3 linked regions of the Caenorhabditis elegans genome follow. The protein of the gene in region 1 interacts with the protein of each later gene in a pairwise test. Each region holds a gene or a part of one and is shown in the gene's direction. Other genes may lie near its edges.

Region 1 (7,591 bases):
GCCAATTTATTATCGAAGAACAGTTTGATTAAATCAAGTAAAGTCAGAAAGTCTATTCAACTTTTATTAAGAATTTTAAATATTTTCTATAATCTCCAAGAGTTCGACTCATATTAATGTGTATTCTTTACATTATAACTTTTAAAATTCAATTTTTTTCGCTTAAAAGTTCAAAAATCTGAAAAGAACAATCGGACAATCGTTGTGGTCGTCATAGAGCTGAAATGATCTACGAATAGTTCAAAGTACTGTATAATCTAGTAGCCATATACATTTTCATAATCCTCTCCGTATTTCTTTTCACCAATCCGCTCCGTCATTTTGCATTTTTAACAAGTTTCGGTTATTCCATATTTTCATTTACATAACTTACACGTTTATGTTTCTATTTCATGTTAATTCCATAGTATTCTGGATGGTTCCAAAATAGTTTTGAATTGTATATTGTTTGAATTGGTCCAACTCCGAGAATTACCAAAAGTTTAGAACATTTGAAGAAAACATAACAATGTTTGGTTATTGATAACATAAATTTTGTTGAATCTTCAAGCTTCATTTATTCATATTTTTCCAAATTTCAAAAAAGGATTTCTAAATTTAAAATGTCCACTAAACAATCCTTAATCTCTTGGCAGCTCCTCTTCTTCACACGTGGTTTTTTTCAGTTATCAGAACAATAATCGGTGGTGTGCCAGCTTGCTGAATTGGCTTGGCAAACTTTTTTTGCGTCCTTCTCCGCCACCGTCACTCGTTATCATCAATCACAAATTTTTGGCTGCTGCCACGTTAGACTCTGATTTGTAAGGGGGACATGAACTATTATCAGAAGCTAATTCTTAAATTCTAAAATGAAAATATTAATTTAGAAAAACGAGAAATAGATAATAAATGGAAACCTACTCTCGTTTCTTTCTCCAATAAATCAAATAAAAATAAGAAAAGTGCGACTGGTTGAGTCGTTACCTAACTTTATCAATATTTGATTAGAACTTAACAATGTTTTTGAAATGATCCACTTGGACGTACAAGAGGTAGTACACATTAAACTGACCGTTCGATTTTTTTTCTTAACTTTAATTCACTTAGAGAAAGGTAAAAGGAATCCATATATAAATTACGGGATGTAAATAATATTTTATTATTAAAGAAAGGTTTTAAAACAAACTATGTAGAATCTAGTCAAATAAGTAATTTTCTATTTCTGGAGATAATTTTATTTAAAATTGAATTTTCTTAATTACAGAGAAATTACGTTCAAAATCTCATTAAAAGATGTGATAACCCGACACCTCAATACATTGACCGTTTAATTTCTTTCCGTTTTCATATATATTTTCATCTAAACACATTCATATATTTATATATACAAATGAAACCTAAACCCGTTTAATAATCCGCCTGACCGTCTATCCATCCTGTCCGTCCGTCTATCCTCCTGTCCACCTTCCGACCACAATTACCGTCCCTTTTTCTTTCATTTTCACCGTTTATTTTTCTGAAATCCGTTGCTTTAATATGTATACATTTATATATACTTTTTTCCAGCAACAACAAATAGAAGAACACGAATTTTAATTTCAATTAATTCAAAATTTTTCCCATATCGACGCTGCCGTTTGCAGCACCATCTGTTAAAATGGAACAACTTGATGTCGAAGATTGGGAGTATTGGGGTGATGAATATCTTGAAGAAGAACCAACTTATGCAATAAGACCTGGTACAAGAGTTGTGAAAGTTGAAAGGTTAGTAAATCGATTATTATAACTTTTCTGTGCATTTGAACTTGCATCATAACCCTAACTTTTTTGAGAATTAATATCAAATTATTAAGATTTATTTGCTCAATTGATCAGTTGGAGATCATTTCATAGTTTTTTCTTTAATTTTTTGAACTTGTGAGATAAATAATTTTCAAAAAATTTTGTTTACCGAAGCCGCCAAAAAATTTTATCTCAAATATATAGCTCTAGTGGCTCTTTGATAAAAACATTGAAAATTGAAAAGAAAAGATTTACTTGAAACCCCATTTAATGCTAAATCTAAATTTATTCAAAGTCAATGTGATACAAAATCCCTTCAGGCCTTAAACTTTTACATCTATTCTGATATCAAAGCATTTGATAGTTTCAAAGAAATTACGACATTTTGGCAATCAATCGCTGATCTTCTGACGTTTTCAGATCAATTGACAATGATTTAAATGAACTTTTGAGCAATTATCTCAACTCATTAGAGCCATTAGATAGTTTTCAAGAAGCTGCAAGTACGTGTTCTATTTGCATTTTAATTCTAATTCCCTTTTGTATAGGACAGAGTCTCCCCTTTGTTATCTTATTCTTGCCCCGCCACGACGCAACAACCATTTTTGTGATAATAATTTGCAATTTTATCAATGGCACTACTACCTCTGATCACCACCATCTCACACATACTTTGTAAAAGCGCGTCGATCGTAAATACTACTGTCTTGCCACTTTAGTAGTAACCCTGCCACGTGGAAACTTTGAAATTTGGCGTGGAAATGAGTGAAGAGGCACGTGACAAGATGCGCGCGAAGAATGATCAAATTGCGATAAAAAGGGATAGGTGAATGATCTTTGTGATTTGAATGCTACTTGAGGAATGGTTTACATGGAAATTGAGAAAAAGTAAAATAAAAGGGTTCAAGGACGGTAATCGATCAATTTGAATGAATGAAGAAAGATATGATTGTGATTGATAAAAGGAATTTGCTACAAGAAACCGAGACGAACTGCATCGGTTCATATGAGTCAGATGTGTTCTTCGGTTGAAGAAGATCACTTAATTTAGTGAGAAGTTTCTTTTGAGATTCAATTTTGATTATATTCTTAGAAGTTTTCAGAAAGACAGTTTAGTATTCACTCCACAAGGTTAATAGCTAAAAGTATTCTCTACTCGATTCGAAAAATAATTTTTGCGGGTTTTTACTTTTAGTATAAAATATTTGAATTTGAAAAAATCTCTAGTTAGTAGTTTGTTCGTGTGCAAAGCTTAAACAGGATAATTAAAGTATTTTAAAATATAATCCAGCTTTGATTCTAGATCACAATTCAGCATCTACTTATAGATAAACTAGTATATGTTAACTTCCCCTATCCTATCCAATAACCTTTTCCTTATTCAGCTGTAAACAACAATTGATACAAGTTATCTTATCTCCAAATGCCTCCTCCAATTTTATGAGACCCGTAAAAAAATTCGATAGACAAAAAGCATTACGATTTTATTTATTTTGGTGACATTTTGGATCCTTGTAGTCAGAGGCTCTATCATTTGATCTTCTAATATATCTTTACAAAAAGGCAATACATCCAATTAGCCCAATTAGTCTGCACGTCTTGATATAAATATGACATCATACATTTACTGATTCGAATCGTTGATTTTTAATTTAGAATTAAGGATAAACAGAAAGAAGATTTAAGTGTTTGATTGGAGAATATAGGCATCCTATGCTAAAAGCTATCTCTAATTTATTACTGACATCATCCGTTTCTCGTCTGTGTTTCATGTATCTTTATCACCTTTCCCTCCTCTAGTAGAATGACCTAGAAAGTGATTGGCAAGTCTGGCAAGCCTACAGGGGGACAAGGGTTATAAGATTGATAGGTAATAAATTCTTGTAAAATGAAGAAAAAAAATTCTGTGCGGATAAACGAAGCGGAAATCATCATTGTGTGCGTGCTTTGAGGAAAGGTTCGCGCCTGTTTACTTGCCTTGTTCGGAGGTCGAGATTTCGGACACGAACCACCTCATATTTTTCTCTCGTTTCTTTTCTTCGATTCTCTTTTTTCCATTACTATCTCTCTTCCTTTGGTTCTTATTTTCTCGACAGTCTCTTTTGGTCAGTATAGTTCCTAACTAGGAACTGTTCGAAATCTGGCATGATAATTCTTCAAAAACGCTTATGAAACTTCAAAAACTCGGACTATTTTACTGTGAAAGTATATACCTCCGTTCGTTTCAACAAAAAAAAAGTTAAGCTTTGAAACTATAGAAAAATTAATAATACATCTGCTGCCAGTTGATTTTAAATTGATTCAATCGAAAATAGCCAAGATATCAGGTGCCAAAGTTGAGCAAGATTAATTGAGAAAATAATGTTTTTGGGAGTGCATTTTTTCAAATATACAAGTAGTTTATCAACAAAAAATTATTTTGTACTGGTGTAATTGATTTAAAAAACAAGTAATTGATGTGAAAAACAAGCTTAAATACTGTTCTAAAATAAAGTTACAGGTGTTAAAATGTTTTAAACAAATTATTTACTATTTGTTCAAAACCTTAGTGACATCTAATCTTTATGTTTTCATTTTCTCTTCATCCTCTCAAGCGTCTTCTGTTTTGTATTCTTCTTCTTCTTTATTTCAAATCAGTGTCTCTTTCGCCTTGTTATCAGTAAATCGTCGTCGTCTTCTCCTCCTTCATCTCCTTTTATTTCAATGTCACTCCCACTTAATTTCCCCCATTTTGTAATATTATCATAGAGAGACACCGCCCCATAGGTATTCCCCCAAATACGTCAGTTTTTCCACGTGGAACTTTTTGGTCTTTTTGATGTGTGAACTTTGATAGTTTGCAACAAATTGAAATTATGAATTTTTTTTATCATCAATGGAATTGGTCACTGTTCCAATGATTTTTTAATTGGATTCTTAAATGCCTTTTGGCTAGAAAACTTTGCACATTTAGCTCCGATTAAGCAATGAATTTTTACAATAACAAAAAAGTGCCTATCGACTTTCAATTCCGCTTCCACACACAAAATTTTGCAATTTTGAAACTGAAAAAACCGTATCAAATATAATACTCTTTTGAAAGTTTAATCACTTGAAAAATGTAATTCCGTCTTCACCAAAAAACGTTGTATTTTCCAAGACACAAATTATTGTGGGAAGATCAAGAAATCAAAATTTCAAGGACACACTCTAGTTTTTAAATTTTATTATTTTTGTGTTTGAAACTAATTTTCCCGATCTTTTAACTTTAAAATTTCCAGAGTTCCAATGATGCGAGGAGATTTAAGGACAAGCGGTGCCACGTCATCAAGTGGTCCCGCCACGTCATATATCATCAGGCCCAGTGACAAGCAACCCACAGTTTCTAGTGGTGGATCACAGAATGGAGATTCAGTTTGTGCTGTTTGTGGTGACGGAATTGCAAAATTACATTATGGAGTACTTGCATGTTATGGATGTAAAGGATTCTTTAGAAGAACACTGACTGGAAAATATCGATATGCATGCAGATTCTCAAATAATTGTATTGTTGATAAATGTAAGTTTTTTAAAGAATAAATTCGAATATACTTGACTGAGTATCTTTATAATCAAGAAAATACCTGAAGTTTCGGTTTTCAGTCCAGCGAAATAGTTGCCGATACTGCAGATTTCAACGTTGTATTCAAGCAGGAATGGATCCAAAAGCAGTCAGGCCGGATAGGGATCAGACAGGAAAACAGAAAGTTCCAAGAATTAAGAAGAAGCAAATTGATGAGGAGCTTTTAAATCATATGGTATGTTTTGAAAATGTAGATACACTGAAAAAAAACTGGTGGCAAATTTAAAATTTCCAAAAATTTGACAATTCACAAAAACTTGACATAAAATTATGGAAAATCTCAAAATGATTTGAGTGTTTTTTGTGATGTTTTCTATTTGTTCTGGAATAATCGAGTGAAAAATGTTTATGCATATTCAAACAGTTAAAATTTAGTTTGTGTTGTTGATAAAATCCAGAATAACTTACACTATACATGAATGATGTATAAATTAATACTTGAAATTTTCAGATGCGGTTACAAGGAGATGATTGGTCACGAAAACTTCCTGTCGAGACTCGAATTTTATTAATGCAATTGATGAGTATTGAGGATAAAGTAGTAAAAGGAGATAATAATATGAGTGCACAAAACACTGCAAAAGATCCAAAAAGTATTTCATTACGGGAAATGTTTGAATCAAAACCTGCATTAGATGGTCGACGGATGGAAATTGGTTATGAACCATTTCGAATGGCAAGAACTGAAGAACTTGGAGTAATTGCTCATAGAAGAGCAATTGCAGCTGTTGATTGGGTTGATTCATTAACTGAAATTGCGGATGCAGTTGATACTGAAGATAAAGTTGCATTGGTTAAAAGTTGTTACTCGCCGTTAACTATTTTCAATTTCTCTGCGAGAACTGCTCAGAATACGAAGAATCCGGATATTTTGTGTCTTTGCAGTCATTCATTTGTTCCAAGAAGATTGCCTCCAGAGTTTAATGAGACAAAGTAAGTTGGAATTTTAATTTAATTCCAATTTTTATCAACGCAATAAAAATATATGAAAAATACTATTTAAAATTAAAGAAAATTAATTTGATTTATTCAGTCATCTCTCAAACTTCCTGATTGATCGAACGTTAAATGAATTGGTGGCTCCATTGAGAAAATTAAATCTGAAAGAAGAAGAAATTGTTCCATTAAAAGCAATTATTATTTTAAATCCAAATGCAAAAGGACTATCCGAGCATGCGAGGCACGCGATTTCTGAGTTGAGAGATAAAGTTCAAGATATGCTTTTCCAAATTGTCAAGGAGCTTCATCCAATCTATTCTGCAAGCAGCCGATTTGGAAACTTGTTGCTTCTTCTGCCAACAATTACTGTTAGTCGTCATTACTGTTGCATTCTCTATTTCAAAACATTTCAGACTCTTTCCGGATTGATGTCTGAAAACATGCATTTCTGTCAAGCTCTTGGAGGACGTGCAAGTGGAGATAACTTGTTAGCTGAAATGTTTGGAGATAGAACATTTGATGATCAACTTATCAGCAGCAGCATTAGCCCACCACTATTCGAGAATCCAGCTGAAATTTGTTTAGAGGTCAGTTCACTAAAAATGACTGAAAGATCAAACTTTATATCATTATCTTTTTCTTTTAATTGTCATTAAAACTATAAACTCATTAAAACTATAAAATTTCGGAGTTTCTCGGAGAATTGAAAGTTGAAATTTGCCAACTACCAACTGATAAATGGCAATGATAAGAGTGTGCAAAAATCTAATTTCTTGTTTGTTTGCAGAGTATCTCACCGCCAATGTCTGATCGAAGATTCGTGAGAAGGGTAGATGTGGCAACACAGACAAATGATGATTTGTTATCATCTGGACCATATCTTCCACATTCAAATTCATGTAGCTCCATGCTTAATGCTGGATACTCTCCTCCAATGGTGAGAGAAGTTTGAAAATATTTATGGAATTTGAGGGAAAATATGTTGAAACTTTCTTGGATAGTAAAGATTCTAAATTGAGGGAACTAGCTTCAATGCGTTTTACACAAACATATTCTTAAGAATATACAAGAAGTTTGAAAAACGTTCAAAAAAGCTCAGATAGAGGCTGTGACTATTATCGATTTTTCTTTTATACAAATCGGTACCTATTTTTGCTAACTCGCTCCAAGTCTCTTAACATTTTTTTCTTGGGAATTTCTATTTCTATTATTAACACCGTTTCAAGTTAAGACTAAAGTGGTCGAGCCCAAGAAACTCCTTCCATATGTGGGCTTTTTTGCGTTTTTCAA
Region 2 (4,713 bases), on another chromosome or scaffold:
AAAAATTGTTTTGACTTGTTGAGTGGGAGGAGAAGGAAATGGGTTGACGTATTGAGTCAGTTGAGTGTCATGAAGCATTTTTAAAATGCTAGAAAGGGAGTGGCTAAAATCAAACAATCGGATGGGTCAAATGATGCGTGACTTTTTGATTAACAGGCTGGAAATTCTACCGAGTTAAGCACTTTTTCATGATAAGTCTGAAATCATTCACATTTCAAAGTCGCACTTCTTAAAGTTCCTAAAAATACTAGATATATTTTTAGATGGCAACTTTTTTTCTGAAATATTCAGAATAAAAAATATTCAATGCGGCATCAAAAATAGTTTTAAAGGAAGATTACTTAGTATCAATTTATGAGTGATTTAATACTATAAAACAAACAGAAACTCTTATTTACCACTTACAAAAGGGAAGAGATTATGAACTGATATTGATAAAACAAGAGTTGCCTCGATTTGGAAAAAAACAACTTTTTTTCAGTTTCTTAACAAAACAATACGAAAAAGAAATTCAGATGAAGTTTTTGTTCATAAGATTTTTTTTTAAGACAGCGTTATATCGAATCAATATTTTTGGTTTTCTAAAAAAAATAATTTTAATTGGATCGAAAGTTAAATTATTGTTTTGTATTTTTATTGTTCTGCACAACGCAACAAAAAGAGAAACAACATTTAATGGAAAATAAAATGCATCAAAAAGTAATGCTCTCAATTATGGCTCATTTTGAAGGCGTTCGTCAACTCAACCGGAGCAAGGATGAAATGGGCTATTGAAAGAACATTAAAGTACGCACGAAAACAAAACGTTAATTCGAAAATAGGTATTTATGAAAATGATTTTTTTCAATTCTATACGGATGAAAACAATAATTTAAATGTGTCCTGAGGTTATTGTTTTCAAATTTCCTTAAAATTAATTTTGGAATTATTTTTAGAGTTTAGGAAATCACATGTAAAATGGAAAGGCCTCAATTCTGAACTTTTGAACTTTTTTGCGCGGGGTAAAAAATTAGCGCGGATTTACCCAACGAAAAATTTCAAGGATTTTCCAAATTATAAGCTTACAAACCGTTACACAAACAACATTACGATTCAAAATAATTATTCCAGTATAAATTGAATATAAACCTAGCTCAAAATTCGCCAAATTATTACTGATTTGATAATAATATTAGCCAGTAAGATTGAAACCAGAAACAAATATGAAAGAAGATTTCAAACTCGATTACATGAAGCAAGCCTAGAGAGAAAATATCGCAATTTTTCTGAAAACTTAATGTGATACATGTAGTGCCAACTTGGCAGATGTCCTATATGTCTTCGAACGTGAACTTTAAATTTTAAATTCGTCTTCATTTCAGCCACCCACTAGTTTGATATCCGATATCCTACGTCCAGAATTGTGCCGCCCACTTCATAATTTTCGGATAAATATCAGTTTCAAATGGTTACCACATTAGCAAAGTACCTACCACCTATGATCTTCGTTCAAAATTTCAGCTCGTGACTCACTCCCTCTTCTTTTTCATTGCTATAAAATGTGTTTGCAAATGTTATTTGCTCTACGAAACACAAAATATGCAAGTATTGTCGTCGCCCATCATCAAAGTCATAAACGGGACAGTGTCATTAGTTTCGATTCTCTTCGCTTTTTTCTCCCGCATTTTTTATCACTGATAACAAGACCTCGTCCACCTGCTCCCTCTCCTCCCTTTTTTCTTTGCATTTTCAGAAGAAGGACATATCAGTGTTGGCATTGTTGGTTGATTCACAGAGAAGTTATTATGTTCATCACTGCATTAATTGCAAAGGAACTTGGATTGTCTCGAGTTAAAGAACTTAATCCTACTGTCACTATCAATGGTGTCACAACCGTGGAGTTAGAGGTAACTTTATAAATTAGTTCATAGTTGAAAACTCATATATTAAACCAATAGGAACTATTTGAGGGCATTGCAAAAATCTCAAAAACTTTTAACTCAAAATTTAAATGTACTACAGATATCAAGTACTATAAAATTATTGTAACTCCTATTACTGTTAGTTTTTTTAATGGCTCAAATTTTAAAAGGATTTTGCAAATTTTTTAAATATTGCAAATATGATGCCAAAATCGTATACGTTACATTGTCGACTCTCTTAATCTGACTATTATTTTCAACGATTAGAAAAAACCGTCAACGCTAGATTAAGATATTTTTAGACAATTTTTAATGTTTAATTTCAAAAATTTTCGAAAATGTTGCTTGTGAAATTATCTTTGAACTTCACTTTTAAAGGTGCTAGTACGAATTACTTTCCAATGTTTTGTCTTCGTACAAAGCTTTCATGTTTTTTAATTCCATATTACCTCTTTAAAATTAATACTTCATGTTTGTGTTTTTGGATGGAGTGTATTATATTGGGAGTTAAATGAGCACAAAGATTATTCCGGTTATAAGGAAATTTCGTTCAAGTCGTTTCATTTTCTAATGACGTTTTTTGTGGAAATTTTTAACTGCCTGTTTTACTGATAAGAAAACGGAAATATTGTTAAATAAACAAGTTTTTCAAAATTGAACTCAATACGGTTGAAACAAAAAAAAATAATTAAAATATTGGAAGTATAGTATTAGGATTAGATTTAAACTTTCTACGAAATTGTTCCAAATTCGAAAGAAATGTGCCAAAATGTGATACTGAATGACCTTTGAATGAGGCCAATTTCTTTCTCCCGCCCTTCTAGAATATCATCGTTTTCTGGTTTTAGACAGCGGAGGGCCTCTTCCGAGTGCATTTGGTGAGAGATGATCAAGATGTTATAGTGAAACTAGAGGAAGGAAGCAAGCTTGCCGCCTACTACAATTCACTTTTCTGGCATGAGATATCAACGTTTGAGAAGATTCCTATTCCAAGTGCACATTTTAATCGATCGTTTGTTGTGACGGAAGATGAAAACAAACATTCTGTCTATGTTACTCAATTTTTGAAGAAAGGAAGTGTTCGTACCAAATTGGGATTACCAGAATTGGAACAAGTTGCCTCACAGATTGCAAAGTTACACGCTGTCAACTCAAAAACTATCAATAAACAATTCTCACTCAATGTGCAAGAAAATTATGGAAACATCATATCATTCAAAAAGAAAATTCAAAAAGAATTGATTGAAGTGTTGGAAACAGCAGTAACTACTACAGAAGTTGCAGACTACTTCATGAATCCATCCTCAGTTATTGAAAAAGTTGGAATTTTGACTCATTACTTGGAAGATTGGAAAGATGAAGATGCAGATGAAAAGGAAAAACATAATGTTATCGCACATGGAAGATTGACAGCTGAGATTTGCAGATTTGATGAGGATGGGAATTTGGTAGAGATCACAGAATGGGAAGTACGTAATTATTTTTAAAATAGAAAAAACTGCGTTCTACTATAATTTTTACTTTTGATCTTTCAACAACGAAAACCTAATTAATTTAGAACATTCATCTTGGAAATCCAGTGGAGGATTTAGCAAATTTGATTGTTTCATCTGCAGATGTCGACATTCGACGAAAAAAGTTCATGAAAGTGGGTTCGAGAGTCTTATGGGAACGGCAGAGCACCAGATGTTTTTGATGTAATTTGTTTTAATTTTAGATATTTCAAGTCTATTTTTATGCACTTGTTGACTATTACCCACCAAAGTATCAACTGCATGATTTGAAAAGATGGTTCCAGGAATATCAACCTACAGTTCTAATCAATGGGTGAGTTTAGGTTTCAAATTTTCAAATGTTTTAAAAGACCAAAAAGTTGTCGTACTTTTGATATTTTTTATAAAATAGTGTTTTACCGGATTTTCAAGAAAATAATTTTTCAAGGCATTTTAGGTTGCCCCAAATTTTCAGAACACTAGTCCCATTAAATAAAATTTCTAATCATTTCCAGAATCGAGTCTCTACTTTTTACACTGAGTGAAGGTTCGGATGACGTCAAACAAGATGCTGCACGTCGATGGGAGACAGCGTTGAATGATACTGTAGATTTCTTGACTGGAAACTACATTTCGGATAATGAGCACCCATTTCTCTCACAAAAAGAGAATGATGATTGAAGAATAAGATAACGTATTTGCTTTTTTTTTCAAAGAATCGAGAATAAATGACCGAATTCAAAAATAAAGATTGGTCGTTTTTTCTTGGTGACGAATGAATAAATCTTCAATACAAGAACGGAAAGATGCATCTCTTGACAACGTAGATATACGGACGACAAAATAATAAATGTATGACGTGTGAGAAAACACTTGAAGCTTGCTTAAAAAAGGGATTGGGTGTCTTCGAGAAAATCAGAACATTTCTTTCAAATTAAATTATGTAAGAAGATGTTCATATTACAATATATAAATAGCAATATACTATTTATAAATTATATTGTAAATAGATATTAATTACTTAATTTATTTATTTACGCTCGCGAAGAGACGTGGAAAAAGTTGAAGAAAAAAGAAAAATGTACACATAATAGATCATAAATACAATACACTGAATAAGAGGGATAGAAACAAGAAGAATAAATAGGAACGAAAGTTTGTTAACAGGACAGTTAGGTCAGGCGGGAGGAGATAATGTTATGTGGGTAGTTCATGAATCATCAGTTGTCAGACATCTCGTTATTCAAGATCTGATATATGTTTTAGAAACTTGGGGCTACTCAGCGTACGGTTTACAATAAAATGCTTATTGTAAATAA
Region 3 (4,163 bases), on another chromosome or scaffold:
TGTTCCGACTACGCAAAGAGGGGATTTAAAGTGAAAAATAGATAAATACCTGATAATTTAGATCAAAAAATTAGAATAACGCCTTTTAAACCAAAAAACTCCTTTGAATTATCGAAAATTCTAGAAATTCTCGAGAAAAATAAATTTCAAAACAGGCATATTCTGTGCATTTGCGCGTGGGATCTAGCGCCCGTTGTGCATTGCGCCATGGCATTTGAAATTGGCGCCCGAAAATTTTTTGTTTTATATCAATTTTTTGGCTTATCGATAATTATCCTTGAAATTCTGCAGAAAAATAGATTTTTCTGTAAAATTTCGCAGGAATTGTATTCAGCACGTAATGTGCATGGTTTCCGTGGCAACTTGGGCGCTCTTTGCTTCTCTGTGCTCTATGCTCATGCCGCAACTCGAAAATTCGAATTTTAATTCTAATTGCCCTCTGTTAACCCTCTTTTTCCCGCCGGATAACCTCCAAACTATTGGTATCTTGTCGATGAATCGGTGAGAAAAAGTTCCGAACAACAAGAATTCGGGATGTTGTTCTTCCTCGCGTCTCCACCATCTCCACACACTCTCACGCGGTTGAACGGACAGTCAGGACACCGCCGCGCGGGGAAACTGCCCGTTTTGGTCGTCTCTTCTGCTGTGTGTGTCTACTATTCAAATAAACTCGCCAATCGATCGCCATTTCAGTTCATGTGCGGTGAATAATGTGTTGTGAAACTCGTTTTTCTCGGGAAATAGCCGAGAAAGGCTGAATTTTTGCTTGAGAATTTCTGGAAGGCATGAAATGTTTTCAGCTCTCTTCGAAAATCTTCTACCGCCCACCCATTTTCCTCCCGAATTGTTTCGTCCCCGTGACTCATTCTCTCTTTTATCGCCAACTTCTCACTCACTGATAATCGATTTTCGTTTTCATCCCGTCTTCTCAATTTTCCAATTTCAGCTGTGAGAAATGGACGATTTGGCTGATTGTCGTGAGGTTTTCGCCTATTTTGACAGCAAAGGCGACGAGCGAATCTCTGTTCAGCAGGTTTTTAATTCAATATTTTACTTTTTTAATCCAAAATTCATATTTCAGGTCGGTGATGTGCTCCGCGCGCTCGGCCAGAACCCAACAGAAGCCGAAATTCACAAATGTGTCGGCTCGTTCGATCGGGAAGCTCGGCTTTCATTCGAGGACTTTGTCCCAATTTTCCAGTCGGTGTCCAAGAATCGGTTCGTGGCGAATTTTCAGTTAATAAATTTCAATTTCTACATAATTTCAGTGAAAAGCACACCGTTGAGGAGTTCGTCGAGGGGTTGTCGCATTTCGACAAGGAGGGAAACGGAATGATCAATGTCGCAGAGCTCCGACACTTGCTCACCACTCTTGGTAGGATTTTGAGTGAATATTATCAAAAAATTAATATATAAGTAGCTTTTCAAAAATGTTCTGCTGGTCTATACAATTTTAAAGTTTACCCCAATTTTATCAATTTTTTTTCAAGGAGAACGCCTATCCGATGAAGACGTCGATCAATTGCTCTCCGGACACAACGATTCTCACGGAAACGTCAATATCTCGGATTTCGTACGCGCTGTCATGAACTCCTAAAAAATAATCGAATTCAGCTGATGTAAATATATCATTTCCATTAATTTCCTCGGCATTTTCCACACAATCTATTTATTTATCGACTTTTTTGCATCCGTTAATTCTATTTCTTATTCGCTCTCTCCCAGTTCACCAAAAAAAACTTGCAACGATTCAGTGAACAACTTTGTATCCTCCGTGTTTTAAGATGAATTTTTCTAAATTTTAATTCTAATTTCATAATTTTTGTATTTCGTGTTACATCTCACATGATATTTCTGTATTTCCTCTCCGTTATTTTTGTGGGGAAATCCATATAATTGCATTTTCAGAAAGAAAAATGGCAGATACAGGAGAAAAAGACACAGAAACGACGGCAAGTGGTACCGATGGACACAGTAAAGAGGCGCTTGCTGTAATAAGCATGCTCCACGAGTGTGGAATTCAAGAGTTTGATCCACGCGTCGTTTCAATGCTTATGGATGTGAGAAAATACAAAATTGAGCTCTAAAAATTCAAAAAATAATGATTTTTTCCAGGTTCAATACGCAGTGACGTCAAAAATCCTCCAAATGTCAAGTGGACTGTCCAGGCATGCTGAAAAAGCGCAAATCGAGGCAGAAGACGTTCAAACGGCGGCCGACATGCTCGGCGTTCTGACCACAAACGCTCCGGACCGTGAGAAGATTCTGCAATTGGCGAATGACAAAAATCAGCAGCCCCTACCGCAAATTCGACACAATTATGGCCTGAAGCTGCCCAACGATCGATTCTGTCAATTACAGCAGAATTTTGTGTACAAAGCTGACGACAGTTATCAGCCGTACGTTTTTTTTCTCGATATATCTTGAAAAATCTGTAAAAATTTGATTTTAAACGGAAAGAAGGTATTTTAAAGTGGAGTACGACCAGTGGGGAAACTATTAAAAACCATTCCTATGGTTCAAAAATGACAAAATAACAATAAAAACTCACAATAGAACTTTTAAAAAAATTATGATACTTTTCCTTTTTTACACCGCATTTTTAAATGAATATTCAAAACATTGAATTATTCAAATTTAATTCTCACGTGAATCATTTTCAGGCTTATGGGGTTATTCAAGTAATGTAGCAAAATGTATTTAAATACATTTGTGACGTCACAAATGTATTTAAATACATGTTTTTATATACTTGAATACAGTTGTGACGTAATTAATCTACACTTTTTAATTTTCCGACACTACTTGAATAACCCCATTAGAAAACAAAATTACAGAAAAAGTTCACATTTTTATCCAAGAAAATGTTCCAGAAAAATGCGGGGTAGAAAAGGAAAAGTACCAAATTTATAGAAGATTTTTTGTTTCAAGTAAAAAAAGGTGTTGTTTGGAGCCACCTTTCGAGAAATCGAAAACACTTTCGCATTTTCGTGCCCCCAAAATAATTAAATATGAATGCATAAGACATGGAATAAGTTTTTTTTAATCGATAACTTCCAAAAACATTTGTTAAAAACTAAGTTTTCACCGCTTTTTGAGCCGAAATATAAATTTTTTCCGAAATTTTCATTCTAAAAATTTACAGAAATTCTATATTTAAACTTGTCGATTTTCAATGCTTTTTGTGGCTACTGTCAGTTTCATTTGAAAAATATTGATTCAAATTTGCATTTTCATCTCAAAAATTGTTTTTTCGAATCAAAAATACAAAACCTTGACACAAAACTAAAAGTCACATATTTTCCGACAATATTCCATTTAGTTATTGTTTTTAAATCTTTATGGCATGCGTTTTTTTTTTCTGTAGTAAAATGAAATTATACATATCAAATTCAAAATTTTCAAGTTTTCAGAATGGAAATGCAACAAGTCACCCATCAGCCACATATCATCGAACCACCAACACAAGTGCTACGGCCGGAGCATGTACAGAATATGCTCAAGCGAAGAGCTCCAGACGATGATTTTGACTCATAACTTTTTAATTTTGTTTTTTTTATGCCATTTTCTACTTTATCTAATCAATCCTGCCAATGATCTCTATGAAACCCAGATTTTTATTTATAAAATTCAAAAATTTACACAATTACAATTCAAAAACAATTCAATTATCCCCTCCACCTGTCACCGCATTTTTCAGCTCACTCGTCGACTCGACAATTTTGTTGGCTGCCATTTTCAAATGATCGTAACGGCTAGCCTTACGCATTGGCGGAACCTGACCAGCTTCCATGTACGTTTCGGGTGCGATTTCCGGAGCATCCACGTGTTTATTGTGCTCGGCGAGCAACTGCTCAGCTCGGTCGATCTCCTGTTTCAAAAGCTCGACGCGTTCTTTGTTGGATTGCGTCTCGCTTTCGATTCGGCATTGCTCCTTGCAGAGGTCGTATTCGGAGAGCTTCAATATATCCAAGTTTTTGGCTAAAAATTCAAATCCTACCTGCTTCTGGGGCGGCACCACCTTCTGCACGTAGATAACCTTCTGTGCCCTGAAAAATCGATAAAGATGGAAAAATCAACCAATAAACTGGCTCACTTTGGTTTTTTCGACTCTCCGAGGCTACATACGGCTAGCAGAAAAACTGCGAGAAGGAATTTCATTC

Evidence for each region.
Region 2: the proteins of nhr-31 (region 1) and C50F4.1 interact in a two-hybrid assay, tested with the Caenorhabditis elegans proteins (one large-scale study listed by BioGRID).
Region 3: the proteins of nhr-31 (region 1) and taf-9 interact in a two-hybrid assay, tested with the Caenorhabditis elegans proteins (one large-scale study listed by BioGRID).

What each region holds. Positions count from the first base shown.
Region 1 is NC_003282.8:8,023,468-8,031,058, reverse strand, and holds the start of nhr-31 (Nuclear hormone receptor family member nhr-31), read left to right. Parts: upstream 1-1,545; 5' UTR 1,546-1,636; coding exon 1,637-1,743; intron 1,744-2,401; exon of another isoform or gene 2,402-2,548; intron 2,549-5,021; coding exon 5,022-5,299; intron 5,300-5,382; coding exon 5,383-5,537; intron 5,538-5,813; coding exon 5,814-6,295; intron 6,296-6,395; coding exon 6,396-6,669; intron 6,670-6,714; coding exon 6,715-6,888; intron 6,889-7,088; coding exon 7,089-7,238; intron 7,239-7,591. UniProt on the Caenorhabditis elegans protein: Orphan nuclear receptor.
Region 2 is NC_003283.11:9,525,061-9,529,773, forward strand, and holds C50F4.1 (CHK kinase-like domain-containing protein), read left to right. Parts: upstream 1-1,732; 5' UTR 1,733-1,784; coding exon 1,785-1,886; intron 1,887-2,749; coding exon 2,750-3,370; intron 3,371-3,459; coding exon 3,460-3,549; intron 3,550-3,618; coding exon 3,619-3,728; intron 3,729-3,909; coding exon 3,910-4,075; 3' UTR 4,076-4,190; downstream 4,191-4,713.
Region 3 is NC_003281.10:13,622,368-13,626,530, forward strand, and holds taf-9 (Transcription initiation factor TFIID subunit 9), read left to right. Parts: upstream 1-1,908; 5' UTR 1,909-1,916; coding exon 1,917-2,060; intron 2,061-2,115; coding exon 2,116-2,399; intron 2,400-3,413; coding exon 3,414-3,537; 3' UTR 3,538-3,640; downstream 3,641-4,163. Other genes in the region: mlc-5 (Myosin-2 essential light chain), read left to right, coding at 956-1,033, 1,082-1,218, 1,269-1,375, 1,491-1,597; T12D8.5 (uncharacterized protein), read right to left, coding at 3,665-3,958, 4,001-4,049, 4,097-4,161.